3 linked regions of the Lepisosteus oculatus genome follow. The protein of the gene in region 3 interacts with the protein of the main gene of each other region in a pairwise test. Links are inferred from orthologs where the notes say so. Each region holds a gene or a part of one and is shown on either strand. Other genes may lie near its edges. The genes, in order: mapk8ip2, mapk8ip1a and lrp2a.

Region 1 (8,012 bases), on a different chromosome or scaffold from region 3:
TTTATTTCTAATATCATGGACAGTTTTGGTTACCATATTATAAAAAAAAGATATTGGTGTTCTGGAAAGTCCTGAGAAGAGCAACCAGATCCATTCTAGTACTTAAAAGAAATGTCCCACAATGACAGGCTACAATAACCTAACCTTTTTAGATTCGGTTGTTGTTTTTTACCCTTGAATATAAAATAATTACAAGAGGACCTGATATTTAAAATCCTCTAAAGGCATTGCCAGCCCAATGAAGTTCTTCAGAATGAACAACAGAAAACAAAATACAGGACACAAGTGGAAACTACGAGGAAGTGCTTTTAAAACCCAAGAACAAGAGGCCTCTTCCCCAAAGGATTAAGGGAGTATGGAATGATATCCATCCATGTGGTTAAAGCCTTTACCTTCAAGAAAGGTCTGGATAAGCTCCAGCTACTTATTACCCAACAGTCTAGACGGGCCAAATGGCTTTGTCTCATTTGTAACCTTTTTTATGTTCTCATGTCCTTAAAAGCCAGAAGACACAGGGGTCCCTCAAGACCAGCGATGAGAACCACTGGAGTAGACAGTATGTCAAGAGCTGGTAAATCACAGCCTGTTATCTTGGATGCCATTTTAAGAACTTTCTTGTGCTGACATTAATCATGTTTTCACATGGCTCCAAGTCTCACTGATGGGAAAACTTAAGTGCACTCTCTGTATTCAGCAAAGTGAGTCATAATAATCAGACTTACCCCACAAGAAAAAGAAAAATCGAATGCTGTTGTGCTTTGTGGGAGGGAGGGAGAAACTGTGAGAGCGTGAGTATTAAATAAATGTTGTTTTTTTTTTTAGAAAGTCCTTTCAGATGCTCTGGGTGTGAAGGGAACCGTGAAAAAAGAACGGCATCTGTATATGGTGGGGCAAACTAGAGTCCATGTAGACACAGTTGAAGGCCTGGGGCACTTCATGGAGCTGGAGGTAAGTTAACTAACAGTCCCAGCTTTAGTGTTCACACTGATTCTAGGGAGAAGTTGAGGCCTGTGTTGAGTGTTGTGGCTGTTTAATGTTCTGTATATATGATATTCTTGCAGAGTATTTGTGGTATGTATTGAATCCAGATGATGCATTATTGAAGTTGCATCCATCAACCTAATTTATAATTTCCTTAAGAGAACTATGCCATGTTGTGTGTCCTTAGAGTTCTTTAATCTGAACTCATGCACACTATAAAATAGTTTTAAAAAAAGTTTTTTCATTATATTGCACTTCATTTTAGTCATTTTAAAAATCACTAAAATGTAGGACTTTTCTTCACAAACCATGTGATACTGATTTTGATCTCTGATAAGATGTAGATCGGACTCTCAAATAAAATGACAGTGAAGGAAATATTAAATTAGCACGTAGTTACATATTCATATATCTTGATTAAAAAGAATTTGTTTGCTTGCATTTCTGTTTTAAATTTCAGATTTTAGAGGAGATCATTGCAGAGTTATATAAAAACAGAGCAACTTAAAGTTTGTATATCAAGTCAGAGATTTAAGTTCTTAAACAGTATTTCCAGTATTATGGATTTATGTATCAACCACAGGTGGTGCTGAATGATGGACAAACTGAAGAAGAAGGAGAAGCTATTGCCCACAAGCTTATGGATGAACTGGGAGTTAGAAAGGAGGACCTCATTGTTGGAGCATACATGGATCTTTTATTAGCCGATAAGAAGTGTTAAATATGACAATTAGTAAGGCATAAGTAAATGCAGTTCATTTTGTAATGCTTTTACAAGCATAATAAATAGATGAAAATACATCTATCTAGCACTTTTTTGTTATAGTGGCTGACTACTGTCGTTATTAATACATCTGTTGAACCATATGTTTGACAGTATCAGGCTTTATTTACTTCTGACTCAAGCATAAGCCAGTACCAAGTTTAGTAATTCATAGAGAACTGATTTCCACTAAAACCACAGTGGCTAACTGAAACAACCAGAAGGTTACAAAGTTTCAAGCTGCTTGCACACCCACAGTTAAGACATTTCACCTTCATCAACAAGAAGCTCCTTACACAGGATAACTGAAAGGCAAAACTACCTTTTTAATCAAATCAAAGCATAGAATAATATTGCTCCACTGCATTTTATATCTTCACTACCTTCACCAAAAATGTGCTTGACTTCTATTCACCCTAACCCTGCAGTTAAATATTCCTTATTTCAGTACAGTGCATATTATTTTTAATCAACATGATGTTGTGCCTATAATTGGGTGTTGGGAAATGTATTGGAGATGTTTATATATTTCAAGTGTAACATCAGAGTTTTAGTACTCTGTAACATTTATTTTTGCATTGTATAATTTCATTCTGTGATGTAATATTCATGTTCTAGATGTTTGTTAAGCCTGATGATAGGATTAGTGAAATACTTTCAAGAAATAAAAAACTTTGAAAGGAATGAGCACATTTCAGTGTGCACTTTACTTCTTATAAGAAATATCTCTGATTGGCTTGCCAGTCCTGGTATGAGATGAGTTATAAATGATTCAACCTCATGAAAACATGAGATAAACACACCTGTTCTGCAATAGGTTAATAAAATTATGTGACTTTTCTTTAGGATATCCAAAAGATACAGCTCAAACTTTGAATAAGTGTTTAGTAATGAGTGATCTGAGCCTCATTTTGTTATGTGAAAGTCCTGAAAATAATTACAAGTGCTGTGTTAGTGTATATCATACCACACCTTCAAATGCATCTTGGTGTTCTATAAAAAGAAAGCTGTTGAAAAGAGATTGCTGAATTTATAATCTACTGACAAAGGATAAATTTGAAATTTTAAATCTGAAATCTATTATTTGGTGAAAATTGTCTATAAAACCACCTTCAAAATAAAAACTTAAGTTACTTACAGTGATTTGATTATATTTTGTTCACAGGAATGGGTCTTTTTATCCTAATCAAATTTCATCTAGCGTCACGCTAAAGGATAAATTAATGCTCTTATTATTTTTTGCTTTGTTTCCTAGTACATATTATCTGCTTTATTGCTTCTAAAATAGCTTTTAAAGAAGCAAGATATTTGTGTTTGTATAGTATATATAAACTATCCCATTCTGTATTCTTACAAGCATCTCTTTTAATTGGAAAGTAGAACTGCTAATTTCTTATTATTCTATGTGTATTTTAATGCAAAGATCCACAACAATGAAGTCTCAAATAATGTTTGAATAATTGCATATTTTTATTTCTAAAGATTATAGATCGAAGACATTATGAGGAAGACATTGAACTTGAGTAAAAGATCTTTGTATGGAATACTTTTAGTTGTGTTATTTTTATAGGAGTGACAGCACTATGCCTTGTGCAGAAGTTACATTACGTGAATAAGAGTCTCTAAACTGACAGTGTGTACGCAGTAATGGACAGGTTCTCTTTTCTAGGGTGTAATAACCTACCTATCCGTCTTATGGTCCTGACATGCTCTGGGTCAGCGTGACACTAGAAATAAGCCGCCATTCGGTAATGGATGGATGGAGTTTGAATTGAGGTAGTACACAATTAAGATAATAGTTAAGTGTTGTAATACCTTATTTCTCCATAGGTGGCTCTCAAATTCCTACACAATTTCAGCACCAAAGGCGATAGAACAGCTCTATGCTTCGACGCATACAACAGATTTTAAAAGTAGGTACTGCGTAGGCTGCAAAGGAACAAGTAAAGGTTTATTCCATGCAGAAAAGGTAAGAAAAGAATCAGCTTTTCGGAGCCTCCACATCCGAAACGATATGTTTCTTTTCTGCGTGGAATAAACCTTTACTTGTTCTTTACAACAGGTTTTTTGCCACTGCGCAGTAGTTTTAGTATGCTTATTTAAAATGCATCTTTTTTAATTCATTGATGTGTCTGCCCTTCCTTTGGACTTTGGTGTTCTGTAAAGGAGTGGTTGATTATTGAAAACGGATGCTTGGATGTATCTTTGTAAACTTGTTAGTGTTAGTCAAGACTCGTCACCGGGGTGCACTTGTTAACGCTTTTATTTAAGGTCAGTATGGTTTATATTCCTACAAGAAATAGTGCTGGCCTCACTAAATCAAGATTGCGGACCATGTTCCCACATTAAGACTGTAAATACTCTTCTGTATTCAAATGCAAAATACTGAGAAACTAAAATAAACTCGAGTATTGCCTCCATGGTTTTGAAGTCGGTTATTTCCATGGTTTTGAAGTGTTTGGCAATTCTTCAATGCTGCCAAGTGCTAATCTGCCATGACCACATGTCAAGTACTGTTTTAACACTTTACTTCAAATACTATCATAACGAGTGCTTAAAGATGTAGAGCTTTTTCTAAAATGTCTGGGATTTCTAAAAAAACGTACATGGCTACATACTGTAATACAACGCGCGCTTAATTAACTCACCAGCTGCTTCTTGAAAGGATAGAAGTTGTTACAGACTCCAACAACTCCCGTTTTCAGTTTAAATGCGGTCCAAAGGAGCTGATTTGTGATTCATTGGTGAGTCTGACCGATCGTTTAATTTTCTTTCCACTCCTATAAATGTAGACATACAATATCAACAGAGTCGTACACGATGGTTACTGTATCTGGTATAACTTTGACAGAATCCTCAGTTCAGGAGTAAAATGTTACTCCAGGATATATCTGTGGTGCTGAGTCAGTGGTTTTTAGACCAATTAAAGAAGAAAGACATGCATTTATGCTCTGAATAATTGTGAAGTGTTTGTCAGCGCATTCCAGTATTACTGTACGTGATGTCCATGTAATACAAAATCTTCTCCACCCACAAACAAATCAATCTCAGTCATAATATTCACAAGCCATCAGCAAAATGCAACCTATTGTACGTTTTTTCGAAATATAGAAAAATGCTATTAAACGCGCATAATCATAACAGAATATGATAATGCTGGATGATACATCTTGGTTTAAAATGTGGTCTGTAGTCTTAAGTACGACCATCCGCAGTGCTGTTTCCTGCTTTGCTAGTTCAGTACAGATTTTTACCTCTTGCTGTTTGATATACTGTACATAGTATTGGGGGAGCTTGGTGTGCGTCCTTTGGAAGGGATAGAGGCTGCGCTTGATTTTTTTTACAAGAGCTTGCTGTTGCATTCCATAGCTCTGATTCTGTGAGTACTTAGCGCTAGATCTATGCAGGTGTATGGCAGTGTTTAATCCACGATTATTTAAAACAACCATTTTCCTAATCAGCACGCTCTTCCTTTCCTTTTTCCCCAAGAGGATTATCTGGATTTTCTGATCGTAGATAAATGTATCCGTGGTACAATTAGTTCATGTTAGTGACATCTGCAGTGTTGCCACAGAGGGGGGCGAAAATTCTTCGCTGATCATCATCCCTTGATCCGGTTTGCCTGCACCCTCTCTGGCTGTGAATGGGCTGTGCTTTGTGATTATCTGCAGTCACTTTTGAGTCATTTCTGGAAGAAGATGGCGGACAGGGCTGAGATGTTTTCTCTCTCCACCTTCCATTCCCTCTCTCCTCCAGGTTGCAGGTAAGACTGCTTCAGCAGCAACATTTTCATTTGCGATAAATCAAGGACATAACGAAAACTCCCGGGCGCTTTGCTGCAGAGGCCAAGGCTGTCGCGGGAGGAGCAGTAGGAATGTCACTGGGTGATGCTCTCAAGTACCGCTACGACAGGTCTGTTGATTCTGGCGCATGGGAGGGTTGGATGGGGGGAAAGCCGTACATTAAAATATTAGATTTGTACTTTTGCTTTTATTATTGTTTCGATATTATTGCTTTCTTTCATAACTATATTTCCAGTGTATATATTGTAGCGTTGCAAGTTTTTTTATTTACCAATTGCTTCTGTAAAATAACACCAGTATTAACATTATATTTAAAAGGAGAGAAATAACCTGAAAGGATATCAAACGGTTGATTCTTTGTAATTCTTTGCTTTACACACGGTTATTAATTGTATTTATCAGACGTTCGAGGAGTTGCTTCTCAAGAGGCCCACGCCCTATTAGATGCATACATGAAGCCTCCATAGTGATGTATTTATTTACAATTATAATTGAAAGAAGGACCCCACTGCTGACATAAACCGATCACTATGTCTGGACTGCTTAATTCTTTTTTCGTCGATTTTAAAAGAGGACTTTGACCCGTGATGTTTATGATTGCTAAAGCTACCTATCCGTAACGTTTGACTTAATGCATATTCACTAGAACGAAATAAAACTTTGTTGACAGCGCACCTATACTGCAGAACACAAAAGAGTGAAATGTATAAAGTTGTACATAAAACTAATAAACCATTTCAGCACCTATCTTTCTATATTATCTCTTACTTGTTATCATGTGATTTAAAAAGACTAGAAGTGGGGTATTGAAGTTGAAATGGGTTGTATGAATGAATGTGAATTACAGTATATATCATAAAAAATGCTCATGCTGTTCTGAAAATAACCCTAATAAAATAGTTTAGTATGAACAGTAATTATATTAAAATGTAATTTTGTGTTTGCTTTTGTAAGGAAAGCAGCTTTTGTAGACATTTGTACTGAGCCATTCCAATTAGGGGTTGTATTCTAACTATTTTGATGAACACAAAAGTCCAGCAAGCTGCGGGATAATCATATTTTTGCACATTGCTCCAACAAATAATTTGTATTCACCCTACTAGGTAAGCATGTCCTCTTAATATGTATTTATAAACAACTATTTGTATTCATAAATATTGACGCAGGGCAACGATTCTGAAGGATTTACTACTGAAAGCCGTCTCTCTTTATTTGAGGCATGCTTCAGTGTGTGTGTTTGCACAATCCACATGCCACTCGGTGTCAGGCAGGGAGTGAAATCTCCCTGGCCCTTGGGGTATTGCAGGAAAAATAAGCTTTGGCCACTTCACAGTCTGAAGCAGTATAGTATTACTTTTCCCCCACCTTAACATCAGAAAATCAGTTCTATTGTAATCTTCAGTGAAGGTGTACCTCTAGGATCCATATTCTTAAAAGGACCACCATTTTGATTTAAACAACGTTGACACTTCCCTTAGGGCCATCAAAAAAAACAGCCCATTAAGGAAAGGCTGAAAGGAATGTCTGTAGAATTGGAGCATGATTTTTAGGTGGTGAGGAGGAAAAAAAACAGGATACATAAAATTGGAAGGACAAAAATAAATGCAATAAAGACAGTAAACAATAAATTACCTTCTCTATGCTCTACAGTTTTCATAGAAGAAAATATATATTGTAAGTTCAGATATTACTCTAGGAGGGTTTTTTTTTTGCTAAAAATAAAAATGAGAATAGATTTTTTTGATCCCAAAGGGAAATTGAGGTGTTACAGCAGCCCACCCCAAGACAAGCAAAGACAGATATCATAACAGACGAAAAATTAAAATAAGTATAGCAATACAAAATAAATATATAGAGTTAGGTGTGTGCAAAATATGCTCATAGTCACTGTAAAACAGTAAAATACGTGCAAAATGCACATAGGTACTGTATATACAGATTGAGTGTCCAAAAAGTACAATAGTGCAACATGCTGTCCATAGATGAGCAGATGAAGGGCAACAGTCCTAGCCTAGGGCAGTGTAACACACCCTGACAGCGGCCAGGAGGAAGGACCTGCAGAAACGTTAATATGAGAATATAAGTAGGTGAAGTGTGGTGGGGATTCTTTGATGTTTCTGAAACACTCACTGTTAAATAGAGCCATCACATCTTTTATTTTATAAGATCAACTGCAGTGAAACTGAACAACAACCCAGTCTCAAGTTACATGCTTTCCTCTTACGCAGGGGTATCACATATTCGTTTTCGAAACTAAATGAAAAATAAAGTGGTATTTTCAGTTTATCTTACACTTCTGTTTCAGTAGAATATTGGTCAGATTTCAGCAGGTTTTCACAAAATATTGGTCAGTGCAGAGCCACATCAATGAGACTTTCCAAGCACAATGGTGCAGTCATTCCCAATTTTATTTCCCTGTCATTCTGTATTTGTGTTCATGTCATGTCATAGGGAAAACAACCCTA
Region 2 (7,009 bases), on a different chromosome or scaffold from region 3:
TGCAGCTACAGTACATGGAACTATTTCAGTAGGAGTGGTATTGTAGCGTATTACAGAAGGGTTTGTTTTTGCTCTGCTTCTTATTGATTCGTTATAGAACCAATTACCCCCAGCAATTTTCTTTATCCATATAATTCCCTTGGACAGTTTACAAAACTCAGGTTTTTGTTTCAGTTATTGGAAAGTCAACTTATTTTCTCTTGTAGCTCAAGTAGGGAGCTGCATCAGCAGGCATAGGCTGCAAAGGAACAAGTGCAGGCTTATTCCATGTTGAAAAGAGAAGAAAAGAATCGTTTCAGCTGTAGAGCCTTCTTCAGGTGTTATTTTCTCTTGTACTGTGTATTTTAATAAGGTGTCCATGGCTCCAATTAATTGCTCCGGGATCTGCTGTTCACGCAGAATGTTGCTCTGGTGGACTAAAGCAGCTGAAACGTTTATGGGAGGATCTGTGTGTAAGCACCGGTGAGCCGCTGTTCCGTACATGGCCTCAGGAGCTGCTCCGCTCACTTGAAAAGAGAGCACTTTACTGCATTATGCACCGATTCTAAAACATTTAGAAGAGGGCTCGGGGAAATTACCCTTCCTTCTGCAAGGTGCCGAAAGTCAAGCCAATTAATAATCCACAAAGGGACTGAGAGGAGTGGTATCTGTGAAAATCATGGGGAAGATTAAATTGCATCCTAGATGTTATTGATGTGCTCTTATGGTGTATTAGAAGTTTTGTAAAAAACAACAACATGGGGGTATCCACTGCTACCACTGGACTTGAACAGACCTAAAACCTTTAGGTATATGACTCCCTTGTGACTCTATTCTTTATAAATTGTTCTGCCTTGAATTGAATCACTATCAGTCCAATATCGTTCTGTACCTTGCCATGCCTTTGATGAGCAACAGTGTAAACAGTCTGGACAAGAACAGGATAAGTCCATTGACATCTGTTACTATGCATTAGTATCATCTTCTCACTTAGAAGCATGAATAAATACAGCAATATTCTACAATTGTCTTCTGTCAGCAACTGAAAACAGCAGTGAGATCTGTGAAAATCAGCTTTGCAATGAAGTATCAAAAAATATTGATACCCTTTATAACCGATTTTTAGCCTGACTTGATTGTTTAGATTGTTATCATAAATAGCATTCAATAGAAAAAATGCTGTCTCTAATTTTATGTGATAAGCAGAGTAAATATAAAACTGGGCACTTTGCAGCATACACCATACAGCTCTTTTCTTCTGTTATTTTCCAAAAATATGTTTTTTAGGGAAAGGCTGACATTAAAACAGATTGCATGAGTTTCCCAACTTGCAGGTCTGCGGGAGAAATAAGGACAAATTCATCTGGGCATTTTAAATTAATATTTTAAAAATTCCATTAGAATTTATCCTGAAATTAGGTTACTAATTCCTCTATATCTCATTAACGCTGCTTAAATTTATGCAAAAATGTCCGTCCTTTCATGTTGACTACAGTTATCCTGCAAATTGAAAGCTACCTGGATTATTCATCATCTAAAATTCAATTGGCTGTAATTATCTAAAGTGCCTCAGCAAAAATGTAGTATTTGGGAAGGACATGGCTTAAACTGTTAGAAGGAATCCATAAAATAATTCCTTGCTGTTGCTGTATATACTGTAGCAGTTATTATGCCAGTGATCCCAATGTACAATACATATAGGATGGGACCCACTTTCTCTTCATTGGATTCTAAAACAAAACTCCACATCGAAAGAGCCTCAGGCAAGAACTGAACATTGGAACCAAGTGCTTCTCTAGTTGAGAGTGCTGTCATGCAGCAGTCCTACTGTAACGGCCATGCCACCACACTTCTGTCAGTGGAGAAAACAGATTCTAAAAATAAGGCATTCCATAGGTATATACTGTATTCAGTGCTGAGAAAACATCAGATCAGCAGCTTTTATAGCATCTGTACATTCATCTCATGTGAAACTCTTCTGAGATACAGGTTATTTCCCGCAATTTATAAGTTTAGAATGACTTATGTTCAGTACATTTCACATCAAACAAATTATTAAAATGATGGCCTCCGTTTTGCTGTGCAAAGAAATGTTGTCATTCTTTTTCTGCACCTGGTTGTTGTTGGACCACCTGGATGATGATGACTTTTTTAAAGAATTTTGTAGGTTGGCGGAACAAATCTTGTCTTGAATTTGCTTAATACCTGTAGGAGAACAAATACTTTTTTTTTCAAATGTACCTTTCACCTAAGCTATTGCTTAGTGAAAATGCTTGTTTTAATGAAAATACATTTTACATGCTGAGCTGGTTTGCATTCACTCTTTTCCTTTTTCGCTTAAAAGGAAAGGTTATTAAAACACATGCTATATCTGCTGATATCTGGCATGTCAGCGGAATGACTTTTGTCGGACCAGACTGACGTATCTTTCTTGTGTTTCAGGCTGTTGTGTGTTTCTAAAGCCCAGCAGGTACTATTGTACAGTATACCACAGCATTTGTTTAATGTACCTTGTTCTTTAAAGAAAATGATCTTTCTGATATATAATTCAATTTATTGAACAGTCATTACTCATACAGTATCACATGATAATTGATTTGTAAACCATGAAATACAACATAAAGGGTGTATTAGTGCATTGGTGCATTCATTCAGGCCTGCTGCAATCATGTTATGAATAGATTCAGGGATCACAACTCACCAGTCACACCAGGAGGGGCGTTATGGACAAGCTCGGAGATATGAATGGGCTGTTTCCCTGGTTACAAAGCACAGTGCAGGGGTAAATAGGCCAATCAATGTGGGTAACTTGAAATGAAATATCAAATTAATCTGCAGTAACTGCACCCAGTTGACTTGAGCTCACTTATTAGTGGAGTGAGACAGCATGAATATTAAGAGATAGAAACCATTAATAGGTAATACACTACAAACTCTGTATAGGATAAAGGATAAGAAAGAAGTTTATGAAATGATTAAAATAACAACAGGGTCCAATTAATGAAAAGTAAAACAGGATATTTGGGATATTCCAGTAGAGGCTTAAGTAAAATAAAACTAGAAAGTTGTTCTAGCATTGAAACAGCAGAAGAGCCTTAAAAGATGGCTGATGCACTATTACTAAGTGCTGTTGCCAAGTGGGCTGGATGGGTCAAGTGAACTCCCCTCATTTGTAACGTGTTTTATGAACAGTATTTCACTCAGGTGATCACCAAGGAAGAAGTCAATAGAATGCCAGGTGGTGGAAGGACAACGTTCTTAATATTATTTCTTATCACATTCAGGATATAGGATATACATATGTGGAAAATGTGCATATTTGGATTGACAATAATAAAAAACAGGATACAGATAAGAGGCAAATGCTAAGATTTGGGCACACTAATTAATAGAGTACCACAGGGATCTATACTAGAACCACTGCTCTGATTCTGGGTATTTAATAAACTAGTCACGTTTGCAGGTTATACCAAAATAGGAGTCGCAAATAAAATTCAAAAAGCTTTAGATAAAAATTGCAGACTAGGAAAACACCTGACATATGATGTTAAATTGAGGGTGTTGCATGCAGATACCCCTAAACCTTAACTAGGTTTGAACAGAAAAGGCTTCAAAGAGACCTAGTGTATTCAGAGTCCTTAAAGGCACTTACATTGAACCACTTAAACACGTGGTAACTGTTCCGAATGACCTCGGCATTGTATTTTTTTTTTGACTTGGCTGCTACAATAGCAATATTCATTGCAACAAGAAAAAATGTATATACTGTAACCACTTTTTGGTTGACAACATCCAATTCTGACACCATTTCAAGTAACTAAAGTATTATTTAATATTTTTCAGAAGTTTAACTTGCCCTGCTGTGCACTCCATTGAATTAACGACGGATTTTGCATTTTAAGTTGATTTGTTTTCTGAGACGATGACGACAAAGACGATTCTCCTTGTTTTTCCGGTTAATATCAACGTACACAGGTCCGCTCCGCCTGTTTCTGGGGACCTGGAATGAGAAGCTGGCGCCTCGCCTCCCAATCTCTCTCTCTCTGTGTGTGTGTGTTGTTTCTCTCGCCTCTCCTCCTTAACTGGATTTCCATCGCAGCATCCCTGCTACTGGGCTACTACTTTCTCCAGGAGCGAACGAATGGATATATAATAATAGGGCAGAGAATGGCGGATAGAGAAAAAAGAAACCCGTCTCCAACTGGATCCCCTTTCTTGGGTTTGCACATCACCTCCTCGCCTAATTTCAGGTAATAGAGCTCAGGATAATCAAAGGGTACCGCAAACCCCTATCGAGCCTAAGGGCTTTTCGGATAACGAAGCTGGTGACGGATTGAAAACAGTGACAGGCTATAGCAGATAGATTGTTACTGCAGAAAGGGGATGCTCATGAATATACTGTAGTAGTGGTTGCTTCCGAGACGGAAAGTGCATTGTTTTTTTCCGTGCATCCCGTTATGTAAATTGAATCGATACAGAGAACCGGGGCAAGGCTGGCGGACGCACACAAATAGTTGCTGTTTACAAACACGAGTCTTTCTCATGTAAATTAAAGGGCGTAGTCCATTTTTATTCAGGTGAACAGATTGAAAACTCCCGTGATCTTGACGACACTGCGCGGAGGAAACAAAACAGATATCAAAGCTCTGTTTGTTGCTGTTAGAAGTTGGAAAGCGCTGCACGTTATTTTGTTACTGTTTTTGGTTTGGGCTTATTATTTTGCATCAAATCTCGAACACGAATGAACTCATTGATCATTTGGAATTGATGAGAATATTAGGCGAAAAGACTACTCGTGAAATCTAAATATCACCATTATTTACTCTTCACTAGAAATGTAAAATATAGATTTAACATACTATAAATATATTACGTATCTACTGTACCTATTTATCTAAATAGAGGCATCACACAGCTTTTCAGGTATGTGTGCAACTGGTTGACAGCAACAGTCATAGTGCTTGTGTGTGAAAAGTCGATACAGAGCGTGAATGGTTTGTTACTAGTTTGGTAGTAACTTTATAATTACCTGACCTTATAATCGAGAAATATGCATTGTATTTATTCAAGATATTAAGCAAATAAGAGTAAATCCGAACATGCATTATTCTGCTAAATACTTAAGCTCGGAGAGAGGTCGCTATTAGAACTTTGAATCTGTTGTCCATTTTATGGCATTCAAACCTCCTAAATCCAGTACATTACTACAGCCTTTGCACTTGTGCATAATTTTGCTTCAAGAACTTAAGGATGCTTTGATTGAATCTGTTATCTGCAGAAAGAAAACAACCTTGGAAACATGTTTCTGTTTCATAGCATTGTGGTTAAAAAATCACAGCAAACATTTCACTTTTCCATCAGCATAAACGTTATAGATCAGAAGCCTTTATGGTCTCTAAGGGTAACATGTTTCACCATTTTTATCAGGGTGCAGGATGTGTACATCTCTTTTAAAGGGGAAACAAGAAAATGCAGTGATGAGATCTGTCATGCACAGTGTGTGGGGTATGTGCAGTGGTTCGGCTGCTGCTGCCACAGAGTATACAGAGAAAAAATGATGAGATCTTGCTGTACAAAAATATGTTACAGTGACATATTCATATCTAGTGGGGTTTCAAAACTCAACAAATTAGGAAAGTATTTGTGCTGAACGTCAGAAACTGCTCCTGACAAGTATCTTTGCATCTGATTGAAGTGGATAAAAATGTGCACCAGCCAATATTTTCTTGCAGTGTGGGATGCTGTCCCATTGCAATTGCATACCAAGAATAAGATGCTGACATTAACAAGTAAACAATCATTGCACAGACTGTTGTGATTATTACGGTGACTAAAGTACATGACAAATGTATTGTTATACTGTGCACAATACTGAAAACTCAGTATTTATGTACTGAGTTTTCAACCTGTCAAAAATATTAACACACTGTAAAGGAATGTCCACACTTGCTTTATTTATGTACAGTATGTGTTTAACTTTCAAGAGACGTAATCTGTCACAGAACTAAGTCAGGATGCACTACAGGGACTGTCATTGCCTACATTATTCAGTAAATTCCATAAAATAATAATCTGTAAATCCCTTTTTTTGTTACGTTTAGCTTTCCTGTATTTCTGGGATAACCTTTAAAAATCCCCAGCACTTCACATGTTGGCTGGTTCCCAACAGAAAGACATCTGTTGACTTATTTTTTATTTACAGTCATTTGCAAGGGTTAGTTTCACAACATGTTATTGCAGTCGTTTAAAAAACTAGTGTGATATTTTTAATGCTATCTTCTGCTGAAGGCTCAATGGCCCTTATGTGACTTTTCCGGTGTACAGATTGCCTTCCATCAACAAATGAATGCATTAATGACTGAATAATGATAATAATAGAATTCTGTAATTTGCAGCAAATTAAATCTGACTGCCTGCATACTGAAAGTACCTGCTTAGTTGATTCAGTATGCTCTTCATGCATCTTTTAGTTCTTTTCAGAAATGTAATCTAAAATGTCAGTAATGTTGGAATTAGATAAACAAATCATTTTTAGCAGGACCTTTCCTTTGGTTTTCATGCTATTGAAAATGATTTAATTTCATCAGGGGCAACAGGAGGTTAGGTTCTAGACTTGTAACTGGAAGGTTGTGGGTTCCAATCCCAGCTGAGGCTCTGCTGTTGCACTCTTGAGCAAGGTAGTACTTCAACCAAATTGCTCCAGTTGCACCATACCCAGCTGTATAAATATGTGCAAATGCAGTTCAATTTGGATCAAACCATCAGCCAAATAAATTAATAATAACGAAGGAGAAAGTAGAAGAGGGGAAAGATTGTGAAATTTGGGAAACAAATCAAGTGTCATCTGAATGGTCAGTGCATACATACTGCATGCTCATACCTATCTCTCTGTTATCAGGCAGCCAGTCATTTTTAGTGATTATAATAAAAGTGATGCAGAAATAAGTCAATATAAATACAAATGGAGATGTTTAGTAGAGCTCACATAGTATAGTTGTGATTGCCACAGCATTATCCAAATTACCTCTAA
Region 3 (7,433 bases):
TGATGTGACCGTACACTACAGTAATGACAAATTTGGCGTATTGTATGATCCATGTTTTACATGTGGTCAATTTTTGTTATTACTTGAGGGTGAAATCAATAGCAGGCGATGGGGACATTCTTCGGTTTGGAATAAGCTGGCTGCAATATTTGGATATTTTTTTATCCCCTTTTAACGGTTTACAAAATGTATACTGATCGTAATAGTTGAACCAATTCCCACACGGTTCCTGATTTTTTTTTTTGTGGGGGGTAGCTTGGGGATATAGGAGGTGGGCAAAATACTAACGGATTCTTATCCTTCAAGACTCCTCAGGAATTCTTTATTTTTCTAGTGAAAGGAGCTCTGCAGGGCTCTGATGGATTCCTGAAGGAGTATTATAGGGTATTTGGAGTTGCAGGAAACCCGCAGGAGTTCGGTCTAAAACGTATTTTAGAAAATCCGCACGATATCGTGTGCAGATGCAATTTTCACGCATGTATTGAATCGGTGAATCTGAGTAAAAAGAACCAATTAAAAAGTAAACAATAATTATTTTTTTCCTAAAGTTTTTAACTCACTTGCATTTGGAGAAAATCTTACAAGCAATGACTTCAGAATGGAAAAAAAAAACAATTTTAGGACTGAAATGATATACATACAGTATTTAATGAAGAAATAATTTATTAAAACAACTAACTGGTTAAGGTAAACAGCAATGTTAAAATTAACGAAGTTTTATGACTGATGACATTTATTCTAAAGTATTGACTTAACATTTATTATCTGTGTTTAATGTGCAAAACACCCACTTATTGTACACATTTCTAGAAAATACCTTATCACAGCAACAGAAAGGTGCAAAGTTTTTAAACAAAGGTGTTTTGTTTTTACCTACAGTAGATGGCAAAACAAGAAGCTGTTGAAGAATTTTTAACCCATTTCTCAGCTTTGAAACTGATGATTAAGCAGATCAAGCACCATAAATTCTGCCAGTTGTAAGTGACCTTAGAACACCTGGTTTAAAAGAGTGGGAAGAAAATCCTGGTTAATAAAATGTCATTTATGTTTAACTCATTAAGTCATACATTACTTTGTACTATGGGGCAACACCTCAATGTGTGTGGTGTAGCTGAATCTGAAGTTAGATACCATACCCTGCACTGGTGCCAAAAACCACAGCTCAGGAAAGCAAAATGCTGTCGGAACCTAGAGAACCCTCACAATGTATTTAAAGAATAGTGCAATACAAAGGGTTAAAGTTAGCCACCCTGAAAAATGTAAGAGTCCCCTTATTATCTTGTTACACCTTCTTCTTTTCATGCTTTTCAAAAGAGTCTGAGTTTTTAGCTGTAGCTTTTCATCATTGTCATTTGCTCAAAGGGAAAAAGAAGTGTATGGTCATGTTTACATAAGGCAAAAAGAAAAGAGGCAGAGCATCACTAACACGCTGCTTTAGAATCTTATACGTAAGTGTAGATTGGGCAGTGTCATTTTATACGAACACGCTTGTTAATACCAACTCATACCGTACATGCACACTTTATGTATAGATTTCACATGATTAAAAATGCTAAAAAGGGAATTAACAGAAAGTCAATAACTTATCAGCCCCAACATATTTCACTGAAAATTCAAAGGGGCATGGAGATCAGCTTCTCTTTTGAAACCCAATGACCTTATCTAATAAGTTTAAAAAGGCTCTGTCTGCACAGGTTTAATAAAGACCTTTGTCATGTTCCCTACACCCCCATGTATAACACAAAAACCTTCTCCACAATGTTGTTGCATTACCAATAGTTATTCAATGAGTATTAGTATTTTTAAAATGTCTTTTCTATGTCCCATTCCATTTACATATAAGCTCAATCGAGATTTTTTTTCTAAACCGAATCGTGGTAGTTTTCTTTTCTGGAAACGGGATGATAACCATTATAAGTTTTCATGTATTGGAATAGTAAAATAGGAATAGTGAAATCTTTAAGGTCTTGTTTCTCTTCTGGTGACAATGCTAAATTACATGAAAGTTCTGTGTTGTTTTACAGCTGTAGTTGCAATGCAACTTGTGGTAGATATGGTAGATATCTACCATATGTGGCATATGGTAGATTAAAATACAGCATTAAAAAGCACTCGCATTATTCGCTGCGAAGTATATTGAGAAAATATTAATTCATAATTATTAATTATTAATAACAACAATTCCCAGATGTCTAAAGTTTTAGTTTTAAAACCGCCTTTTCAATAGATGCGTATGCATAAAACTGGGTGGTTGAGTGAAACTAACGGGACAGTCTCAGTTTCTCTTTTTGAGAGCTCAATGTTGTTTCTACTCTCGAAGACAAAAAACAGATGCGGTTGCGATATTTGCACATCTAGAAATAAACATTGGTTGTTTGTTGTAATCTCAAAATGTATTTGGCAAATATACTGATAGTAATCATTTTTCTTAAAAATATTAGATGAGCACATTTCGAATTGAATCACCTTCCAGGGTCGCTAGAGCAGTATGGCCATAATTTTATAACACATATTTTTTCATGATGTCTTTTGCAAATGAGAAGTGGATTCATAAATAGACATTCTAATATATTCCATCTTTCTTGGAGAAAAATATATTTCAAAAGACTACATTATATGACACGTTATTGATTTAGCTTTGTAAAAGTGACAGAAACTAACTTTAGCAGGGTTTGGAGGATATTGATAGTTGTTACAAGCATGTAAAATAGGAAAGCAATTTATCTAAACCTTATAAGTAGCCTTATACGCTGGCTAACTTAAGTATATGAAGGATAATGTTTGGTGCAGATCTAATTAAGGGAGATTTCACAGTTAAGGGCTTGTTTCCCAGGAAATTAACGTTTTAGCAATTTGGGAATCAACAATTGGCCTTAGCTTTGAATAGACCTTTCAAACATGTCATGCTCGTTTGTGGAAAATAATTGTGATTTCGAAGTATTATCGAATTAAAACACATTATAGAGATATACACGTATGGTGTTCATTGCCATTAAACAGGATATTAACACTAAATCCTACGAACACATGAAGCTTGTAATGAACAAACCCCCCCCCCCCCCCCAACAAATATACTTTATTTTGTCAAACTAAACATTTGCTCCGCCAGTTGTTACCCTTTGGATTAAACTATAGGCTACTTTATCCGAAGTCGAGTCCATTAAATAACGCTGCTGGTTACGTTTGGTCGTCCCGACACTTGCTGTGAAACCACGAAAGGAATTCAACAAGCTCTCTGGCAAAAGAGGTGGATAAAGAGACGCCAGTCATTTGGGGGGAAATTCTTTTTCTCATTCACAGTAAGAAATACTTGCAGTGAAATGTAGTCTCTCGGGAGAATGTTTTTTTTTCTTTCATTCTTTTTTTTTCTGCTGTGCCACTGGATGTGTCGAAAAGCTCATTGAATATGCTTATCTTACCCTCGTGTTACTGGGGCTTGACCCCGGTGCTGTCCCGTACCAACACACTAAGGTAGCCCTGATACTGAATACAAGCACTGTGAAGCGCTCCTCCGCCTTCAAGCCATTTACAATATAGTATTGATGGTTATCTCTGCGTTGGCGATTAGAGCTAGCCTTCCCAAATAACCGTTGTCTTTGCGTCGGTTTAATAGGATAAACAGAGATCTGATTTATCACACCTGACACGTAGTCGCCTGAATATACGTGGCCTCACGTAATTTGTGTTAAAATACGAGATTATACATCATCATGCAGATATGTGACTGTACTTTCCTTGAATAAAATTGATTAAAATCAGTAACTGTTGATTTCAAAGAAGTTTTCAACATGATGGTGGTATTTTCAAATAATCTATTCACCAGGTCAGTGCATCCAATATATTTCAATTTCATCTTCATTGTGAAATAAGTAAATTCCATACTGAAATTCAGAAATAAGGCTTAAAATTTGTGAGCTGTGTGTGCCAGTTATATGGGGTGTAAAATCGCCTCTAAACAAGTTAAAAATGGCGCGCTTGAGAGCCGTGAAGAAATGGGTAAAAAGTTGCTTCAAACTGGCAAAGAGGTGACCGTGTGTCTCAATATGCTTTTGCGCCAATGCGCATCATGACAGGTTAACAACTCTTTTTTTGTGTGCCAATTTTAAATCAGCTATCTGCTTTCACTGAGTCACAGAAAAACAGTTGATGGACTCTAAGTTTTCCATAGAAAATGTATTGCCAACGTATTGAACTCGCAGCAAGTACACTGTGTTGTAGGGGTGCGGACGACGACAGCTTATTAGTGTGAATGATTGAATTATGCCGGTTCCTGGGTCCCTGGTAGAAAGGGTTTTTTTTATCCAGTGGGCCGGAGCGAAAGGAGTATTCAAAGCGCAATGTCTCGGCTCTCAAACACGCCCTTTTTCATCAGCTAGCGGGACAAGAAAGAGAGAGGCTAGCAGCGGTAGCATCCCAGTCCCCTAATGCACCTCCAACCACCCGGCCTGGACTGGAGCTGGACTGACCAGCTGGGACGGCACATCAGGATGTGGAAAGCACTCCCCGTGAATTTCTTTCTGTTAACTTTATTCGCGCTTCAGTGCCATTCTCAAGGTAAGCTAAATTCACATTTGTTTTAGGTGCTACATCCCACTCCACTTGAGGGATGGGGCACTAACGGTCAGAAACAAGCCAGTTTAGTTTTTGTATCTTCAGTAGCAAGGGTGGTAAATATGTGGGATATTGCATGTGAAATTCAATATTTCTCTTATTATAAATTAGAAAGCAGGTTATTTTAAGAAAGGTCGTTCTAGAAACATATCCAACACACGCATACTTACAATTCCTGTTCTTAAACAATATGAGTATAGAATCTCAATGTTTGGATTAATGAAATATAAAATGTGTTTTAAACAGCAATGTTATTTAGTTCCACCCTTGTTCTGACATTAGAGATTTCTCGCTTGTTTTAATTTCTATTAGTGTTTCGCGGTGTTTTTTCCAATCCTTGTATTTTTGGGATTCAGTGACAAAATAGCTGTGCCAGTCATGTGAATATGTTAAATCGCTAGAACATTTGTACATATTCTTTAATGATTAAAACTAAGACAAGATCATTAGTTTTCTTTGGCATGCTCCTTTTAAGTCAGCGTTTTCGTATTCAATAAAATTCAGAAACGTTAGTTTAATCTAGAGCACAAAGCCTCCCTCAGACAGATTTGAAGTTCTCTTGGAGAACTTTTGCCTGAGCTTTGCCGTTGCTAGGTAACAGAGGAGAGCATGTGACCAGCAGGCAATCTGCGGACTGCAGGCCACTGGTACAAATCTGACTTGGAGGAACTCCTCCGCTCTTAGTTTTGTAACATGTATTTTAAAGATGTCGTAACTTTACAGCAGCCTTTTTGTACAGTGACAGTTTAAGACCCATTGTTGTGCAGGGGGATAAAATAGATTGATTTACTGCAGTCTGTTCTTGGATTTGATCGTGCAGACTTGTGCAGACCTACTCAAATTATAATCTGCTTTCTTTTTGCTCAACCCTTAGTATATAAGCTCCTTAGTGTGAATCAAGCCACTAATTATACTGCAGCTGCTGCTAGAAGCAACCATTTATGTTTCAGAAACAAGACACGAAAACAAGATATATAAAATTCAGATTCAAAATTTGCACTTCGAGACTAGGGTGTCAGTGGAATTGATCTAAAAGTTCGTTTCGCATCGAATCTCACGGTGTTTGTAATGTATGTAAATTGGAATGTTTTGTCACAGAGTAATAGTCTCTGTATATAATAGATCTGTAGGTAATTTATTTTGGTTAATCTCAACAAAACATTACTAAAATGATCGTATATATTTTGCAAGTGTATTGTAAAAAAATATGCACTGTAACTTTGTACTGAGTATAATTTGTAATTGCTTTGATGTGTTAAGACAATTTTTTAAAGAGATATTTAACCATTTCCAAAATAACATCTACTAAGTATATGCTTCGTGTGATCAGAAAGAGATCTGTCTATGCACTTTCTATTTTTTCAAAAATCCTTTTAAAACTTTAAGATCCAGTAATGTCTTTGTGGGGTGATTATTTCCAAAGTAAACTGTGAAACATTTTAAAAGCACCTTTGTCAGGTCTTTAAGGATGCTGATGTAGCAGTTATCGACGCTGGAAACACTGAAGTGATTGTAATTACTATAATATTTAACTAAGTGTTGTCATTACTTGTATTTTTCTGCTTGTAAATAATTTCCATTAAGGCATTTTTGGTGAAGCAGCGAGAATGTTAATAGTTTTTTAATGTTAATCATCTACAAAAATAGGAATTTCTTGTTCTTAAAAAGTTACCTTTTCAAGTTTAACACTACAGTGGTTCCAGTTAAGAAAACATGTGCTAATGAAGTTAGTCTTCATATTATTAAATGACAAAGTCCAGCTGCACTATGGTAAATAACCTGTTTTAGAAAATGTTTCCCAAAATACGAATGTGGTTTGCTACCCGTGTCTGGCTCTCCTAACATCATGCTAATGTTGTTCAGGTGGGTGGCTGCGTCAGCATGCGTAGGCTGCAAAGGAACAAGTAATAGGTTCCACAGGCGAAAAGGTTGTGTTTTCTTTCTTCTCTTTTCAGCCTGGAATAAACCTATTGCTTGTCCCATCATGCTAATGTGTGTTTTTCATTTAGATCTCCTCAAAAAAGTGAGCAACTAATGGCTGATTTAATCCAGATTTATTCAGCATGCGTTTCAGAGGAAATGACCAAAACAGCCACGAGGAGGGGGACAGGGATTCTGTCATTCACTAATACTCGTGTCTGCTGGGGTTACGAACATCAGTTTTAAAGTCTAGATTTCAAGGATATTTGATCAACATGCAATACATTATTTTTACAATCCTTGAAAAGAGTCATTTTTACATTTTACTTTGGAATGCTTCAAACCTTAAGGCTTTCATAGCACAGCTTGCAAAAAAGGAAATAATGAGCAGAATCTAAAAGTGCAACTTGTAACATCATCTTGATATAACACTGGCAGGTTATAGCATTTAGTTAGCTATAGAATTGACTCACGCTGATGAGTAATGCCTGAGATGGGATTGATATCTGACAAAGAGGCATTGTTTGTTTTGTAAATCGCCTTCTTTTTAAAACTTTAGTTTACAATATACATTAGCATATAGTAAATAATTAAAATCCATAGATCCTTGTCTTAGAGCCAATGATCAGACACTTCATTTAGGCATTTACCTTGAGAACAGCACTAATTTACAGAAGGTACCATAGAATCACAGCTCTGGACTTGACAGGGTCAATAGATCATAAGAAGAATTAGATCATAAGAAAAACATATTGACTGAACTTTGACAAGCCAGTGCTACATTGTGCTTCTCTTTAAAAAACTTTTCAATGTGCAGTTATCTTCCCAAATGTAGTAAGTAAAACTGAGAAAAAGTTACACACCTAACCAACTGTATAACCAGAACACACATGAGAAATAAA

Evidence for each region.
Region 1: the proteins of lrp2a (region 3) and mapk8ip2 interact in a two-hybrid assay, tested with the Homo sapiens proteins (2 studies listed by BioGRID). The link is inferred for Lepisosteus oculatus from reciprocal best matches to the Homo sapiens genes LRP2 and MAPK8IP2.
Region 2: the proteins of lrp2a (region 3) and mapk8ip1a interact in a two-hybrid assay, tested with the Homo sapiens proteins (2 studies listed by BioGRID). The link is inferred for Lepisosteus oculatus from reciprocal best matches to the Homo sapiens genes LRP2 and MAPK8IP1.

What each region holds. Positions count from the first base shown.
Region 1 is NC_090702.1:14,099,445-14,107,456, reverse strand, and holds the start of mapk8ip2 (C-Jun-amino-terminal kinase-interacting protein 2), read left to right. Parts: upstream 1-4,974; 5' UTR 4,975-5,442; coding exon 5,443-5,507; intron 5,508-5,533; exon of another isoform or gene 5,534-5,618; coding exon of another isoform or gene 5,619-5,656; intron 5,657-8,012. UniProt on the Homo sapiens protein: The JNK-interacting protein (JIP) group of scaffold proteins selectively mediates JNK signaling by aggregating specific components of the MAPK cascade to form a functional JNK signaling module.
Region 2 is NC_090716.1:6,360,781-6,367,789, forward strand, and holds the start of mapk8ip1a (C-Jun-amino-terminal kinase-interacting protein 1a), read left to right. Parts: upstream 1-3,945; 5' UTR 3,946-3,984; coding exon 3,985-4,229; intron 4,230-7,009. UniProt on the Homo sapiens protein: The JNK-interacting protein (JIP) group of scaffold proteins selectively mediates JNK signaling by aggregating specific components of the MAPK cascade to form a functional JNK signaling module. Required for JNK activation in response to excitotoxic stress.
Region 3 is NC_090707.1:15,774,473-15,781,905, reverse strand, and holds the start of lrp2a (low-density lipoprotein receptor-related protein 2a), read left to right. Parts: upstream 1-4,349; 5' UTR 4,350-4,424; coding exon 4,425-4,554; intron 4,555-7,433. UniProt on the Homo sapiens protein: Multiligand endocytic receptor. Acts together with CUBN to mediate endocytosis of high-density lipoproteins. Mediates receptor-mediated uptake of polybasic drugs such as aprotinin, aminoglycosides and polymyxin B.